Linked DNA regions of Mus musculus: regions 2, 3 and 4 are each reported to be linked to region 1. Evidence: microRNA targets listed by miRTarBase, many of them from high-throughput screens and not tested one by one. Region 1 holds a microRNA gene; each other region holds the end of a gene's coding sequence.
The links. The annotated mature microRNA mmu-miR-339-5p reads UCCCUGUCCUCCAGGAGCUCACG and lies in region 1 at 1,804-1,826, shown strand. An mRNA with a match to its seed (bases 2 to 7 or 8) in the 3' UTR can be bound and repressed. Matches are read on the target gene's strand: a 7mer-m8 pairs with bases 2 to 8, a 7mer-A1 pairs with bases 2 to 7 and ends in A, and an 8mer does both.

Region 1 (4,209 bases):
TTTGACAGTACATAATTGTTTGTTTGGTTTTTTTTTTTTCCCTGGGAGACCCCATTTTCTGCCCAGTTGTAGCTGCTTGCACCCGCACCTTGGATGACTCCCACACTTTGCTTAGTGGGCTTTTCAAGCTTTAGAAATCCGCTCTGCATTATAATAGCAAGATCAGCACAAAAAGTAGGAACTATAGAGGATCCTGCGAGTGTTGTTTGTGCCCCAGTGTTTGTTCTGGTCATCTCTGCCCTCGTTGGCTCAGAGCTGTCTTCACATTTCTGCTGTTTTAAAAAAAGGGGGGTGGGGAGTTTTGGATTGCTAGGGAGTCACTTACCCAGGTGAGCAGAGACATCTGACCTTGCTTGCAGGGTGGTTGCTGGGCCCGTTGTAGCAGGAGAAATGGCCTTTCCTTGGCCACAGCAAGAAAGCTTCCATGACCTTAATGTCACTTGGGGGTCCACTAGGCAGTTTGGGATGTGTGAACACAGCTGCTCTACCAGAGGAAGCCAAAATCAAAAGCATTTTGATTACCGGCACACTCAAATAGAATTGGGAGTGGGGCACGTGGAAACCAGGCTAGAACAAGCATCCCTGGGTGGTGGGCATGCCGGGAAGCTCTAGAGAAGGGGATGTGGGTACCTGGCCCTGGCTAGAAAGAAGGCCTCCAGCTAGGGCGAAGGAGGCAGACTGCAGCTGAAATGAGACTGAGTCTCGCTCGGCTCAGGGACGCAGCGCAGGCTCTGCACAGTACACAGGTTCTTGTGTCAGCAGGCTTTTCCTGGCCTGGGAATGCTCAGTTATAGATGCAAGCCCCTCCCTCTCCTTCACTTCAGGGTCTCCTACTGCAGGGGTCTGATTAGAGACCTCCCCATCTCCCCCGCTGCAGGGCCCTCTTCCCTGCCTGTTGGCTGCTTTCTGCCATTTCTGAGTAGACCTAGGTGGGAGCTTGTTGTGTGTGTCGCCCTCACGCCCGTGATTCAGGTGGCAGGGGCTGACTCTGTCCTTGCTCTTGGACCAGGAGCTTCACTGATGGCCGAGTTGGGCTTCCCACTTAAACTTGTGCCAGAGCTGCTGGGACCAGTTCCTGTGATCTGCAGGCAAAGGGACGGAAGTTTTATCTTCTGGAGCCAGCCCCTCAGCCTAGTCAAGGAAATCTGCACCCTGTTCAAGCTCCTGGGGTCTGTCTGCTCCTGTGTTGGAACTGGGGACATGTGAGATAGCAGTGGGAGAGGTTAGACCTAGAAAACCCATGGGACCTTCATAACCTTGTTGGTGGGGCCAGTCAGCCTGAGTCAGGTGAGCTGAGGCCAGAGAGCCAAGAAAACCGATGTATAGTCGGGGACTCACAGCCTAGAGGCCTTGTGGTCTGTGCTGGAGTCTGTGAGAAAGTTAATTCTCTGGGCAGCCTGAGGTCAAGACTTAGGCTTTAGCCTGTGTTTAACCCCCAAGTAAGTGACACAGGGTGTTTCTGCCGTGACTGCAGAAGGACCTGTGGCCTGGACAGAGCCTGGGCTTGGTGGCGGTGACAACATCACCTCTGGGGATTCGTGTGTCCTGTGGCAGCTGGTGATGGCCCAGTCTCCTGTTTCTCAGGGATACATCAGATCTGCTGCTCACTTCCGCCATTCAGGTCACTGAGGAGGCAGGGTGCCGCATCTGTCATCTTTGTCTTTTTCAAGCATGGGGCTTAAGTGACATTTTGTGCATTTGAAAAGTCATATCTAGAAGGGGATCCCTAGGTGGGTGTGACCCTTGCCTTGGCACCAAGGTGGTGAGAGCACAGCTGTGCAGAGCTGGACGGGGTGGCCACTATCCCTGTCCTCCAGGAGCTCACGTATGCCTGCCTGTGAGCGCCTCGGCGACAGAGCCGGTGTCCACCCCTGCACTGTCCACAGACCCTTGCCTGCAGACCAGGGTGCTCAGTCGCTGGCTGTTCATGCTGTACCTTCTTGAACTCGATTGTGCAGATCTGCAGGTTGTTCCGTGGATGGAGGGGACTCTGGTTTCTCTGTGCGGTGACGCAAGGCACTGACCCCTCTGGGGTCCTAATCATCTTAACCTACGCAGACACTGAGGGGGAGGGGAGAGGAGCCAGGAGGGAGCCTTCCAGGTCTCTCCCTCTGTGTGTGTCCTCTGTAGCACCAGTTGATTCTACTGCGTGTGACCTATGTCCTGGCAGTTGGTGTCCCTGGGTCACTTCTACATCCACTGTGTTTCAGTAATTACCTCCAAATAAAAAGCTTCCTTTAAAACAAACTCTCTCCCCTCTCTTCATTATGTTGTTGTGCTTTTGCTTTGTCTTCTGGAAATCTTGCTACCGAGTGAGTGCATAGCCGGGCAGCAGTCTGCTGAGGTCTGTGAACCGGAATGGGCTCTCAAGGTCGAACACCTCTGTGGGACCCTGGACTCGGGCTGGCTCCAACTGAATGGAGGAGGGCTGATTCTGGGCTGGGGAATGAGAACAGAGTCCACTGGCCTTGGCACCCAGCTCGTCAGCCTCAGCAGGCTTCGTGGTCTCCCCCCACAAACATCGCTGTCACTTGTAGGCCATTCCCAATGTCTGGGGAACAGGTATAGGGGTGGTAGGGACCAGAGACCATGCCCCAGCCTTGGAGGCACCACCTGGGTATGTGATAGACAGGCCAGGTGCTGGGCTCCATCGACCATCTGCTGTGCCCTTGGGACTCTGTCCTGTGTGAAGCGGGTCAAATGACTGGATTCCCTGCCACTCAGCTGCGCCCCCAGTACAGCTGCTCTGGTCACATGATGGGGTGGGGACAACAGAGGGTCCTTCTACCCTCACCTGTGTTCATCCTTACACCTGACTCAGTCATTCCAAGAAAGAAGGTCCTACAGAGCTGTGTGTCTGGCACTGGCTACCAGGGCCTCTACTGCCAAGGTCTACAACTAACCTTTGAGGGGTTTTTGTTTATGTTTGAGACAGACTTGCTAAGCTCAAGCTAGCCTTGGACTTTCAATCCTCAGGACATATTCACCAACCTCCTCCACAATTCCAAGAACGTTTGAACAAGATGTTTTTGAGCCCAGTGGATGCTCAAAAACGCTGGGCATTGACTGCCTCCCCAGGACAGCACAAATCCCTATTAAGAGAATATCCCCAGTCATACTGCCCCAGCACAGGTGATGCCCTGGCCAGGGCCAGCAGCTCCTTCTAGCTGTGTGGAGAAGGAGAACATCTCTCTGCCCTGTGAACTTCATTGGGGAAGGACAGTGGGCCCTTGCCCTTCCTCCTACACAGAAGGCCTCTTTTACCCCCATGGGACCCAAGGGAGGGGCAGTGGTGGGGTGCTTGAAGCTGCGGTTTGCTGCAGCACCCACCTTTGTGTGCCTCCTCAGCGCCTGAGGCTTCAAAAACAGTAAGGTTCAACCAGGGCTTCCTGATTAAACCTGGGGAACAAACAAGAGAAGCAGGCCCACGCAGTTGCCCTGGTTCAAGGTTGGTCCTGGGTTTACACACAGCCTGGTGAGGGCAAGGGAGAAAGTGCCGCCTGGAGTCTTTGAGCTGGCAGAAAACACCCACTCACCAGGATGCCCCTGCTTACAGATGGTAGAGTTAAGCCTCCTCACCAGCAACAGGCACAAGCAGGCCAGACTCCCCTTACCAGTGTGGCTCAGAATGCCTGGCCAGGACTCTTCTCAACATCCAGAACTCAGGGAGCCTGAGGCAAGATTGCCCCTAAGGGGACGCTAGCTAGCCTGGGCTTTATAATTCCAGGTCAGCTTACCAGCTAACCTACACACACACACACACACACAGGCTGTGCCCTGTCATGGACACCAGGCAGTCTTGAATTTAGCTACCAAGGCTGTTGGGAGATGGTCCAGTTTTCTTCTCAATCTCCAGAGTCACCCAGCAAGCCTTGCCTGTTAGCATGGGACAGAGGCTGCCTGCTCCGCCAGCCCTGGATCAGTGCAAACCATGAGTGGTGATGGAGATGTGGGTGGAGGAACCCTCAGGGTGTGCCATTTGGGAGACTGCTGATGCTGCACTGGCCCCAAAGTGTCAGCCTTCCTTGGCTTTGGTAGGGACAGCAAAGAGCTGAGCCCACCATCCATACAAGGACCCTCCGTGGGTGCAGCATTCGCTCAGGCCAGTGTGCATGTTTTATATGCATGCCTGAATGAGCATTACATATGTACCCAGAGTTCAGAAGAGGACTTTGGGCCCTCTGGAGCTACAATTACAAATGATTGAGA
Region 2 (4,104 bases), not on the chromosome of region 1:
CCAGGGTCCCCCAAATTCCTGACCCCTAGATTCTCCTCCACCTCCCAGCTGTGCCCCAGAGCTGTGCCCCAGAGCTTTGAAGGACTTTTCAGAAGCCTGGTGGCTTTGGCCTGGGACATAGTGACTGTGACTTTTCCTCCCATCTGTCTCAGGTATCTGTGTGACTTCACGTATTATACATCGCTCTACCAGGGCCGCGGCCGCTCCGCTTTTGTCCACGTGCCCCCACTGGGTAAGCCCTACAACGCCGACCAGCTAGGCCGGGCGCTACGAGCTATCATCGAGGAGATGCTGGGTGTCCTGGAGCAAGCCGAGGGAGACATCAGCTGTTGCCGCCAGCTCTGACAGCCATGTACACCTGGGTGCGGTGCCGAGAGAGGGGCCATCCTGACTCATCTGCCCCTCCTAATGGACCACAAGGGGGCAATTGAGAGAGCTCCCATCTGAATATCATCTGGGGACACTTCTGCGCCCAGAGGCCAGGGCTAGTGGTCTGCACACATGCCATGGGGCCACCTTGACCCTGACGCAGTCTGCATTTTCAGGTGTATGGACAAGGAGTTGAAGCTTGCCCTGTGGCTGGGGCCTCACAAAGTATCATAAAGTAGATTAGCTCTAATCCATGTCTTAAACCCTAGATGGTCCCCGCCAAAGCCACTTGGGACCTGGTTGCCTTTTCTATCTTCTGTCTGTTTCTGTCTGTGTCTGTCTCTCTCTGCCTCTGTCTGTCCCCATCCTTCTTTGTTGTACCCACCTTCCTTCAGTGCTAGAACAGAACAGCGTAACTTATGTTCCCATTGTTAAGACTTCAGGCCTAACCAACAAGTGTCTTTCCTTTCTCCTGGGGAGGGCGGCCTCTTTTGCCTCCTGCCCTGAAAATGCCATCATACTTTGGGTCTCCATAGTGGGTTCCCTTTGCTCAGAAGAGCAGGCTGCTATGGCCACCAAGGGCCTGGCCGCAGTAGCCTCTGGTGCCTGTGGGGAGCCGACCCTGCCATGATCTTTCTTGTTCTCTTTTTGATATTTTAAGACTCTTAAAATTTTAGATACTCTAAACTTTAGAGGGTATTTGTTGTTTGTTTGTTTTTTCTTTGGAGACAGGGTCTCAGGTAGCCTAGGCTGGCCTCGTGTGAACTCCTGATCCTCTGGCCTCAGTTTCCTAAGCACTAAGGGGACAGGTGTTTGCCACCACACATGGCCCACCTGGGACCCAGAACCTACCGTGTGAACCATCACCTGGAGCTGTGGATTTTCTCCATCTTGAGATAGCCAGCCTCTAATATCCTGTGAGGGACCTGGGGTGAGAGGCTGCGGTGCCCAGGCATGTCCCTGCATGTCCTATCAGCCACAGGGATATCTGCTGAACTGCATTTGGAAGTGTGCCAGGGACTCCAGCCAGCCTTTGTCTCTGGCTGACTTTGAACTGCCAAGCCAGGAGGAGGGGCTCTCAGGAAGGGTGGGATGTAGCATGTGACCTGGACTCCTTCCAAGACCAAGTACAGTTCCTGCCAGTGAAGCCAAGTACATTGTGGATGCCACCTTCTCTTTTGTGGATGGATAGAGACCTCGGTGTCCCCACGGGATTGATGGATCTGAATTCTGAAGTGACTTCTCATCCCTGGATCTTCTTGTTGTTTGTGAGACTGGGTCTCCTATAGCCCAGGCTAGCCTCCAATTCACTGTAGCTGAAGCTGACCTTAAATCCTGACCCTCCTACCTCGGCCTACTCAGTGCAGGGCTTGTGAAAGCCTGTGTGCTGGGCCTGGCTACTTTTAAGCTCTAGTGTTCCTTGTTCTGATGTGGTTTCTTCATGTCATCATCTTGTTGATCCTGGGTCTGAAGCTTATTTGTCGCCACATGGAGATCTGAGTGGTTGGCTCTCTTTCTGAATCTCAGGGTTGAGGGCACCCTGGAGTGCCCCAGGGTGATTTGCTGTCCCTACAAAGGCATCTATGGGTGTGGGCCTGCAGTTTGAATAACGAGGGCTCCCCCTCTTACCCTCCCCCCAGTCCTGTGCTAACACCTTCTCCAGAGAGAGAGGCCCTGCAGTTTCCCAGATAGCCATGGGCAGGAAGATGGGGGCTCAGGAGTAAGGGATTCCCCAGGGCTCTGGGCTTTTGAGACATCATGTAGACAAGGCAGGCCTTGAACTCCTGGTCCTGTGGCCTCAGCCTCCCCCTGAGATGACCAAGGTGGATCTGACTTTGGTTCCCGTATGTCTTTGTTTTTGTGTTCTGAGGCAGAGTTCTACCTGACCTCTGTAGCTCAGGCTGGCCCTCCAACGTGTGGCAGTCCTGCTTCAGATGTATCAGTGCCTGGCAAGTCTTCCTTAGGAAGACCATGGGCTGTGCTCCACTCTCAATTTTCCCAAAGTCCCTGGCATGGGAACACCATGCTCAGGGACCCCAGGAGGGTGCACATGTCATGTTCTAGTCCCCACTGTTGAGCTGAGGGGGATTCCAGGACATGGGGCTGGTAGTTATTTATTTAGGTATCTCTTAAACACACACCCCTTGCCCTGATCCAAAACTACTTGTTTTTTTTTTTTTTTTTTTTTTTTTGTCGTTTTTTGGCAGGTAGGGCTCAGGGTCTGTAGTTGCCAGGTGTCACCTAGACTGGTCACATTGACCCTTGAGGTCCAGGTCACCCCAGCACTGACCTTCATTTCCCATGCTTACCCTGGGGAGTGTGGGTGGGGCTTCAAGAGGTAGGCAGATGTGTGGGCAGAGCCTGACCTGGGCCTGGCTGGCCCTTACCATTAATGGCAAAGTAGAAAGCTAGCCCAGCGGAGCAAGAGAAGTAACATGGCATAAACCTGAAGCCAGGGACTTGTGCAGGGACAGCAGTGGTAGAATCTGAGGTCTCAGCCAGTCTGAGAAAGTGTCTGATTTATGATATCAACTTAGGTGTGGAGATGTAGCTTTCAGACCAACACCAGCATGCTGTGCCCTGGGCCACTCCAGTGTTTCCTGAGGCCACGTGGAGGGCCAAACTGCAAGAATTGGAGGCAGGATCACCATAGTGGGCACCAATCTTCTGAATTCATTTTTTTGGGAGATGGTGGGGGGTGGTACAGGATCTTGTGTAGCCTGGGCTGGCTTCACACTATGTGGCTGAGGGTGACCTTGAATTCCTTGCCTCCAGGTCCCAGGGATGGCAGGGTTAAGCCTCCGCCTGAGCCTGCTTTGGGGGCAGATCTTTGAAGTTAAATTGATGGCTTCAGCTAAAATGGGAACTCTCTCCTGTACTTCTCAAGCTGGCGTGTAAACCTTCAGGAAAGCGGGGACCCCGAGGCTGGGGGAAGTTGGAAAAGCAGACTCTAGGTGCTTTTGAGTGAGGACTTTGGCTGGAAGTCAGACCAGCTGCTGTGTGCACAGGATGCTTGTGCCTGCGCCCCCAAGGTGACCTTGCTGTATGCTAGGAGAGCGCCTCCAGCCTGCCCTTCTCCCTCCCACTGTCTAGACAGCTCACCCTTGACCTCTCTACCCCTTGGAGTGTCTGAGCCCAGAGTCCCCTCTGGGAACATAGAGACAAAGCCTTACTCTCAGAGCCTGGACTCTGAGAGTTGGGGCTGTGGGGGTCCCTGTGGGGTCCCTATGCATGCCGATGGCTTCTCAAATGTGTACCCAGGCAGGTGGCCTCCCTCCCCAGCCCACCATTTCTCTACATCCACAGGCTGGAGAGAGCAAACAGATAGAGGGGCTTTGGTGTTCTGTGTCTGGTGAAATGCCTCCCGCCCCCCCCCCCCAAAGTACAGTGTCTGGACTAGAAAACAGGGCACATAGCTCTTTTTTTTTTTTTTTTCTTTATATGCAGCAGTAGGGGAATGAACCCAAGTCAATGTTTGGGTTTGAAAAGCTATATCCTGAGTTGCCACAGCCACTAAACATGCCTGTCAGTAAGGCCTGTCACTGGTGTCAGGGACACTGGTCACAAGCTGTAAGGATTGCATCATCCAGGCAATGGTCCTGGAGGCAGAACAAGAGTTCAAGGCCAGCCTCCCCCTACACTCCAAGTTAGAGGCCAGGCTGGGATTTGAGAGACAAAAAACCAAATTATCAGGAAGAGAGGGAGAGAGGTGGGCAAGGTGACTCAGGGGGGAGT
Region 3 (4,104 bases), not on the chromosome of region 1:
CTTCCTATAGACATGTTCCTTGATGGACGTGGCTGTTGAGTTGCTAAGGTAGGATGCTCAAACGACAGTGTGTATTAAATTCACTTTTTAATAACAACAGCTTTACCATACAAAGGGTTTGAGTTGTGTGTCCTGGTGCTAAGCTGGGGAGCAGTAGTTAAACACCTCTAAAAATTCTGCAAAGTATCATTAAAATTACACATTAATGCCAAATATTCGAAGATGTCTTTTTTGTTATAGTGCCACCAAAGTTTTTACAGCATGAAGACTTCTTAAAAAGCTCATTTTCTAAGTAGAACAGTTTATGATTAAGCATCTTAAGGAGCCATAGATCATATACATAGAAGTATTTCCTAGAGTTTGAAAGAAAAATAAGCCAAAAGGTGTATCATTGTCTAGCACAGACTACCAAAGTGTGGTGTGTGGCATTTCAGGAAGGCAAGGCTTCTGGGAATCAAAGAGTAATCTTGGCTGTCTGTTTTATATACATTCGAATTTATCATGAGAGCCGGACGTGGTGGTGCACGCCTTTAATCCCAGCACTCGGGAGGCAGAGGCAAGCAGATTTCTGAGTTTGAGGCCAGCCTGTTCTACAAAGCGAGTTCCAGGACAGCCAGGGCTATACAGAGAAACCCTGTCTTGAACCTCCCTCTCCCCCCAAAAAAAGAACTTATTATGAACATATGTGAGGGTTACCTACCCTTGCAAAGTTCGGCTCTTGACTCTAGCAGGTAAGACGATGTGGAATGCATGGTATATTTTACTTTATTAAATACATACATGAAATATCTGGAACATACTCAGCATTAAGCAGGAGCTTAAAGTCCAGCAAGCGATTTTTATAAAATGATTTTGCTACTCTTCTTTCTGTTGTCGTTATGAGGATAACTCCACCCTTAGAACACAATGAAAAGAATATTCTAAATGCTAGAGAGTTTTGCTGACTCTACAACACAACACCGAAGTGTGTATGTTAACAAGGTGGTGTCTTCTTAGTTCTGAAACAGTTGTAATCACTTAGCTGAAACAAACTGATCATGTCTTATTTTTGCTAAGACTCACACATACTGACTTGTACACAGTGATAAACATTCTGGGTCTTGTGGGCAAGCCAAACCGATACAGATCTCCATTGCCTGACCCTGCCTGAGGCAACTTGCAGTGTGCAAAGGCCTGGCTGCCCACTTTCCCCTTCACCCTGTAAAACAACCTACGCAGCATAAGTTTGCTTGTCAGCTTCATGGAATGATCGCCACATGGTCACTCAGAGGAGTTGAAGTCAAGGATTACGTTATGATACGTTTAGATCTCTTAACAGCCAAAGGGGGAAAATTCATTAAAATGTGACTCTGCTATACAAGCATAGGACTTATATCTCTTCAAAGCTAAATTCTCTGATAATATACATATGAACCTAGGTCATGATTCCTTTCTCAAAGAAATCAGACACGCTTCAATATTTTGATTTCTTAACACTGCAAGGAAGTCCAAGTAGTTTACTTGTTTGTTTGGTTTTTAGTTTTGTTTTTAAGCTTCTACTTTTGTTTTGAGACAGGGTTTCAGTGTATAGCCCTGGCTGTCCTGTAACTCCTTATATAGACCAGGTCAGGCCTGAATTCACAGGGATCCACCTGCCTCTGTCTCCCTGCTGCTGAGATCAAAGGCAGGTACCACGGTACCACTACACCCTGAAGCTCCTACTCCTGAATAGTTTCTTACAACTACAGATTGCCAGGGATATTTGGCCACTTGTGAGGAGATCAAAGGGGCGGTGGGAAATCTGGGACAATGCTTTGTGTCCTTAGATGGGTACACATGGCTTTTCCAAGGAAGAAACCAGGAGAAATATCAGAAAAAAATAGGGATTCCAGGAGGTGGGGTGGCTAGGAATGGAAGTAGTTATGAAAAGATAAATTACTCAAGTGTTCTGAGGAGACATAAAATCCCAATATAGTTATTACAATAGAGTTCTTAACTATTGTTCAGAACTCGATTATGTTATTTTTCGAGCCCAAGAAGATTCACATGTGTGGGGTTTTTAAAGTTCTGAGACCTGATGTCTGTGCAAATGGTTTACCGTTAGATGTCTGGCGTTATGGAGGTGGGGACTGCCTCTAATGTGCGTTTGATTCCCTGGTACCTGACACTGTACCCAGTACACACAAATGCACAAGACAGACTTAATGAATCGACATGCTTGGGTTTTTTTTCTTATACACTCTAAGTGGTAGTTTGAGACGAAATGAGTTTCCGATATAATATCTCTATCATATTATGGAAGCTCTATCCTTTAAACAATAAATGCCATCCTACATAATCCTTTTCAAAGGGCTTGAAGTAAACTTAGAAGCAATGGGGTGCCTAATGAGTGGCATGTACCTTGAAGTCTGGAGGATATTTCCCTTATCATCCAACAGAGGGAATGAGCTGATATATGCATGTCTATATACACATAAGGTGTTTTTTAAAGATGCTTTATTATTCACTACCACTGTTTCCTCATAAAAATAAAAAAATGTAGGGCATATGAAACATTCCTACTTCACCTGGGAAGCTATATCCAGGTATTTAATAGCTTTAGAAGAGGCTGCACTGATGTAACCAGCTAATAACTTAACATAGGTGCCAGGCTGAGAGATGCATAAATAAGATCCAAAGATGCCTCGAGCTTTCCCAAGGCTTTGCTCTTGTTTGAATCATCTGTCACTAATTGCTATTTGTCACCAGGAGGAAAAATGAGGCAAGGGATGCCCTGCCTAGCCTGCACTTCCCTCCCAACCTTCCAGTCTACAGCTTCATCTCTGCACGGGGTTTGTAGTGTGCACAGGGCAGGCAGCCATCTGCAAGGTCAGACAGGAGGGACGGGAAGACGGGAAGATGGCTTCCAGAGTGGACGCAGGAGTTCCCTGTGCTTCCGGGCCTGAATTCTGGGCTAACCCTGGATCAAGCCTCCTCTCAGGCCGGTTTCCCTTAAGAGCCTTGGCTTTGCTTGCCTGCCTGCCCACCCGCCTGCCCGCCCGCCCGCCCGCCTGCCTGCCTGCCTGCTTGCTTGTTTTAGATTGAGGCCACTGACTCCAAGCTTCACAGTTTCTCCCTCTCCAATCACAGTTTAGATCTGGTTGAATGTACCTGCCGTCAGCACAGTACCTGGCTATGTGTATTTCAGCTTCGGAGATAAAGTTTCTGTGGCTTTATCTCACAGGTCCCTGGACAAGCTTGGTTTTCTTTCTTGACACTCACATTGCAAGTGAGGTCTTTTTAAAACCACTTGTGTGTGACTGATTTTGCTCTAGTGCTCCTATTCCTTCTGTGTAAGCAGCTTTGTGTTTTCCATGTGGGGCACAACCTCCTGTGGAGTGACGATGAGCTGACTCGGTGGCCTTGAGTCCTGCCGACGCCCTCACGTGCTGTTTCCCTCTCACAGAAGACTTGGCTCCCATCAGAGAGAAACCACGCTTCTTCGACCACACCGCACTGGCCCCAGGTTAAGTAGGTAGCACAAAACAAACGGTGATATAAACGTGACTCGGATGCGTTACACGTGTATTTACATCTGCATCCGGAACCCTGCATTAGCTGCGGTTGCCACGATGGAAGCCCCTGCCCGAGTCTGTTCTGTGGCAACGTGGCTGACGACGTGACTTAAGACACTGAAGAGATAGGGTTGTGTGGGGAGCCCATCTGAGTGAGCACCTTATCCAACCACTGCAGCGGTCCATGAAGATGGATCTCGATCCAGCAGGGGGTGCTCGTGACATCCTGGCGATGATACTCTGCTCCCCAGCCCTGCAGGGGAAGAACAGAGCCCAGACTGAAGTGCGGCTTTTTGCCAGGTGCCACCAGGCAGAGCACGGGAATGCAGGGTTCCAGGCTCCCTGTGAGAAGTCGGTGCCTCTAGGGAACAGATGCCTCCTCCTCTGAGTGGCCCAGGTCAGGCAGGGTGGGCTCTGTTAGCTCATTTACACCTGGACACCTATTTAGTGGTGCCTGGGGCTCTACAGACCACATGGAGAAGCTGGCAAGCCATCTCCGCATTACAGGGAAAGAGACTCAACCTCATGTCCTACTCTTCATGCGGAAGCCTGTGTCTGTCATTAAAGACCG
Region 4 (4,104 bases), not on the chromosome of region 1:
CCTGGGTTTCCGTTGTGCACAAAGACACAGTAACAGCCAAAGGAAACCCAATATATACCTACAATCCTCCTCCCCTTAGGCCTCTGTGTCTGACAACCTTTCAAACCAATTATTCTCTGTTGGACCTCAATTTTCCGTATGTCAAACCAGTCATCTTATTTATACTCCCGCGCTCACTGGAGGGATTCTAGGCACGGGGCTCTATCACTGAGCCAAGCCTCACCCTCTTACTTTTAAAAGACAGTCTCCCTAAGTTACCTAGGCTGATCTTGAACTTGGTGATCTTTCCTCAGCCTCTGGAGTAGTTGCAGCCAACCAGGCCCAACTCCATTGTGAAAACTAAGGGTGGCGAGGGGCCGTAGCTCTGGGGGTTCCTTTAACGGACTTCCCCCTCTTAACGCTGGTATCCAACACCCTGCAGGTGCACGCAAGAAGCTGCGCCTGTACCAGTTCTTGCTGGGGTTGCTCCTACGCGGGGACATGCGCGAGTGCGTGTGGTGGGTGGAGCCAGGTGCCGGCGTCTTCCAGTTCTCCTCCAAGCACAAGGAGTTGTTGGCTCGCCGCTGGGGCCAGCAGAAGGGCAACCGCAAGCGCATGACGTATCAGAAGCTGGCCCGAGCGCTGCGCAACTATGCCAAGACAGGCGAAATCCGCAAGGTCAAACGCAAACTCACCTACCAGTTTGACAGCGCGCTGCTGCCAGCCTCCCGGCATGTCTGAGCACTCCGCTAAGGACCCCTTTCTGGCCCCTAAGTCCCATGGAGCCCCATATGAGGGCAGTCAGGGTTCTCAGCTCTCCCTAGAGCCTCCCCAGAGTTTCCTGTGCCGTGTATAGGATTCCAATCTAGGATGGTCGTGTTTGAGGGAGCACTGGCCATTCTACACGGTTTCAGAATGGCAGGTTTCTCGGGGGGGGGGGGGATGGGGGAGCCCTGATGTCGTCTACGGTTCCAGAAACCGCAGTTCTTGCGAGTCCTGTGAGCTCACATGACATCTCACCAGCAGGTGGCGCTGTCTACAGCCCCCCCCAAACCCTTGTTTTGTTGGCCAGATAGGTCGGTCCCTCTGTACTCCCCCTGAAGCCCTTGTTAGATCTGAGGTCTAGTTATGTTTGGAGCTCTCTGAGAACCCTGTGCCACCTGTGTGTGACTTTTCTCTGCGTCCGTTTATGACTTTTGTTTGTTTGAGACAGGGTCTCATTATGTAGCTCAGGCTGGCCCCCCAACTTTTAACAATCGTCCTGCCTCGGCCTCCTGAGTGCTGGGATGACAAGGGTGCACCATCACACCAGGTTTTTTCCTTTTTTGAGAGATTTTACTATGTAACCCGGGCTGGGCTATTCTCAAGCTAGTGGCAGTCCTCTTGCCTCAGGCTCCTCTTGCCTCAGGCACCCCTTGGGACCCTCTGGGACCTATGTCCGAGATGAATGGCTGGGTAAGGTAGGGTGGGAGGTTCAGTGAACCTTATAGGTTGGGCCCTTCCTTCTGGGATCCCTTGATCATATGGGAAGTTCTCTAGGCTCTCAGCAGCCCTGCATTCACACACTGACTGAGGCGCGACCTGTATGTTGTGTTTGAGGGGGATGTGTGGCAGAGGTATGGCTGTGGCAAGGCCGGTGCCTTTTATTCTTGAGATTGAGTCTTATGTAGCTCAGGCTGGTCTTGAACTCACTCTCACTGTGTAGCTAGGGAAGACCTTGAGCCCTTGCCTCAGCCAGAATGCTCAGATGTCAGGCAGCGCACCACGTGACTGTTTCTTTCCATTGTCTTGTCTTTTTGTTGTTGTTGTTTTCGAGACAGGGTTTCTCTGTGTAGCCCTGGCCGTTCTGGAACTCACTCTGTAGACCAGGCTGGCCTTAAACTCAGAAATCCACCTGCCTCTGCCTCTCAAATGCTGGGATTAAAGGCGTGCACCACCACGCCCTTTTTCCTTTTTCTTAAGTCAAGGTCTATTTGTGTAGCCCAGGCTGGCTTCAAGCTCATGACACTCTTCCTGCCTCTGCGTCTGGAACTATGAACATACCTTACTACTCTGTGCTTACCCACGCCATGGGTAGACAGACTTCTAGACTTGGTCAACCCCCACCCACAAGGCAGGCAAATTAAGTCCCTGCAGGTGCTTTCTTTGGAGGAAAGCCCGCTTTCATAGTGATCTGTCAAGCTAGAAAGCACTCCCGCCACCCAGATATCTAAGTGTGAATCTTTGGACAACTGGTGACTTCTGGCCAGCTTTTCTGGGGCCGGCCTCTGTCCAGGTGTCTGCCCAGGACCCTGCTCAGTGCCTGTCTGTCTCACACCAGTGACTTCCTCACACCCGCCTGTTCAGGCCCAGTCTTTTCCGTTCAAGTGCTACAGGCCAAGTAGGCTCAAACTGTGGGTTTGTCTTGGGCATCCACAGCAGAATCAGAACCCAGAGCTTTGAAGCCTGAGTGAGGGGAGGGGGGCACTCAGGCTTCCGTCTCTCTGAGAAACAGACGATGAAGAGGCCCTTAAAACTCTTTGCAACCCCATGAGCCTCCCCAATGAGCCTGTGACACACCGGAACTCACCTCTGTGGGTGGCCGGGAGGGGGAACAGGGTCATGGAAGATCCAGATGTCCATGTGGTCAAGGCTAAACTGTACTAAATAAAATTATTTCTCATCACCACTATACATGCATAATAAATAAAGTGTACATCAAAATTAAGCCGTCTTGGGACCCTTTATTAGGAACTGTCCCCTGCACCTCCACATGAACTCTTCTGAGACTGTGGCAGTCATAGGGAGGGAGGGGGAGGGAGGGGGAGGGAGAAAGGAAGGTGGTGGGCCAGGCTAGGGCTTGAATGAGGAAACCATTGTTTCCCACCTTGCTTTTCTGCTCACCCCTCCATTCCAGACATCTGACTGTTCGGTTTTTGTTTTTTTGTCTTGAAGATAGGCTCTTCCTTACGTTGTAGTTCAGGCTGGTCTTGAAGTCACTCCAATGGCCCTGTCTCAGCTCAGTCTCTGGAATTCCGGGTTACAGGGGTGTGTTACTACAATGGGTTGCTGTGCAACTTGCCTGCTCCCTAGGGAGCGAGGTGGAAGTTTTTGCACTGCAACCAATGGTGTGACAGGACTTTGTGCCCCCAGAAGCCAGGAAGCTTCCGGCTGTTAGGGGATCTTTTTTTTGAAAGTAGAAAGGAGGGAGGGACACAAAGAGTAAAAGGGGGGGGGGAGGACAGCTTGTCTTCGATACCCTGGTTCCTTCCTCTGACACCCTTCTGGGCCAGCCACACCTGTGGTTCCCCAAGTGTCCCTCTCCTCCTCCTTACCCGCTCCTCCCCTCTGGTGCTGGGAAGGAGCCGGGCCTGGGCAGCTCTCCAGGGCCTTCCCGGCCTCTCTGCACTTGGCCGGTGACGGGCAGCCGGCCAGGCCGCTCCCATTGGGACCCGGATCAGAATAGGGCGGGAGGGACACCGAGAACTCTTCCCTGAGGCCGGCACCCGTCCTGCCTACGCGGGGGAAATCGGACTATCCTTCCCGTCTCTGGTTTCTAGAAAACTCCTGACTGGGGCTAAGAAAGGCTTCCAGAACCCGCCCCGCTTGCCCCGTGCACCTGAGACTCCCAGCCCCCCACGCCCGTTCCCAAGACCCAGGATTTCCCTCCCTTTTTTCCTTTTCTCTTTTCCTCCTCGTTCTTTGCCCCCACACAAGTGCCCTCTCTGCTTCCCCCCTCTCCCCATCTTGTGCTCTGGCCACTTCTCGTTCCTCCTTCTCCCCCCCACTTCATCCAGGACCTAAGAATCTGGACCCCTGTGCCCCCAGACTCTGGGGTTCCAGTTCCCCTCTTTCTGCGGTCACGCAGTCTTCACCTTTGCACCTCCACAGACTCAGGTGTCTAAGCACCACATCCCATCCCCACTAGGGCCTTGGCATCCCTCCACTCCTGCCTGCTCGCTATTTCTCGCCCTTTAGAGCATGCAAGAGGAATGCGGGGCGGCCCTGCGCTGCCTCCTGGGAGTCTCGAGACTCCATAAAGGGCTCCTCCTGGAGACCCACCTGTCCCTGCTAGGGCCTGGTTAGAGCCACTGCGGTCCCAAGTCCTGGGAGCAGGAGAAGGTCGCCGACATGCCTGAGGCTAAA

Region 2: miRTarBase lists Pgpep1 as a target of mmu-miR-339-5p. Seed matches in the 3' UTR shown: 7mer-m8 at 1,097-1,103 and 7mer-A1 at 1,348-1,354.
Region 3: miRTarBase lists Smad9 as a target of mmu-miR-339-5p. Seed matches in the 3' UTR shown: 7mer-A1 at 2,904-2,910 and 7mer-m8 at 633-639.
Region 4: the mRNA of Spib is a reported target of mmu-miR-339-5p. Seed matches in the 3' UTR shown: 7mer-m8 at 1,188-1,194 and 7mer-m8 at 1,795-1,801.

Annotation. Positions count from the first base shown.
Region 1 is chr5:139,367,325-139,371,533 of GRCm38, reverse strand. It overlaps Mir339 (microRNA 339), which reads left to right and starts at 1,789; the gene lies at 1,789-1,884. All of the region lies in intron 2 of 3110082I17Rik (RIKEN cDNA 3110082I17 gene), which reads left to right.
Region 2 is chr8:70,646,834-70,650,937 of GRCm38, reverse strand. It overlaps Pgpep1 (pyroglutamyl-peptidase I), which reads left to right. Exons shown (of 5, transcript NM_023217.4): 5 at 153-4,104. The coding sequence ends at 345. Among named protein-coding and RNA genes, the nearest start is that of Pgpep1, 11 kb to the left of the region's middle.
Region 3 is chr3:54,797,040-54,801,143 of GRCm38, reverse strand. It overlaps Smad9 (SMAD family member 9), which reads right to left. Exons shown (of 6, transcript NM_019483.5): 6 at 1-3,786. The coding sequence ends at 3,643. Among named protein-coding and RNA genes, the nearest start is that of Rfxap, 8.7 kb to the left of the region's middle.
Region 4 is chr7:44,524,575-44,528,678 of GRCm38, reverse strand. Spib (Spi-B transcription factor (Spi-1/PU.1 related)) reads left to right here. Exons shown (of 6, transcript NM_019866.1): 6 at 422-2,684. The coding sequence ends at 720. Mybpc2 (myosin binding protein C, fast-type) reads left to right here and starts at 4,010. Exons shown (of 28, transcript NM_146189.3): 1 at 4,010-4,104. The coding sequence starts at 4,090.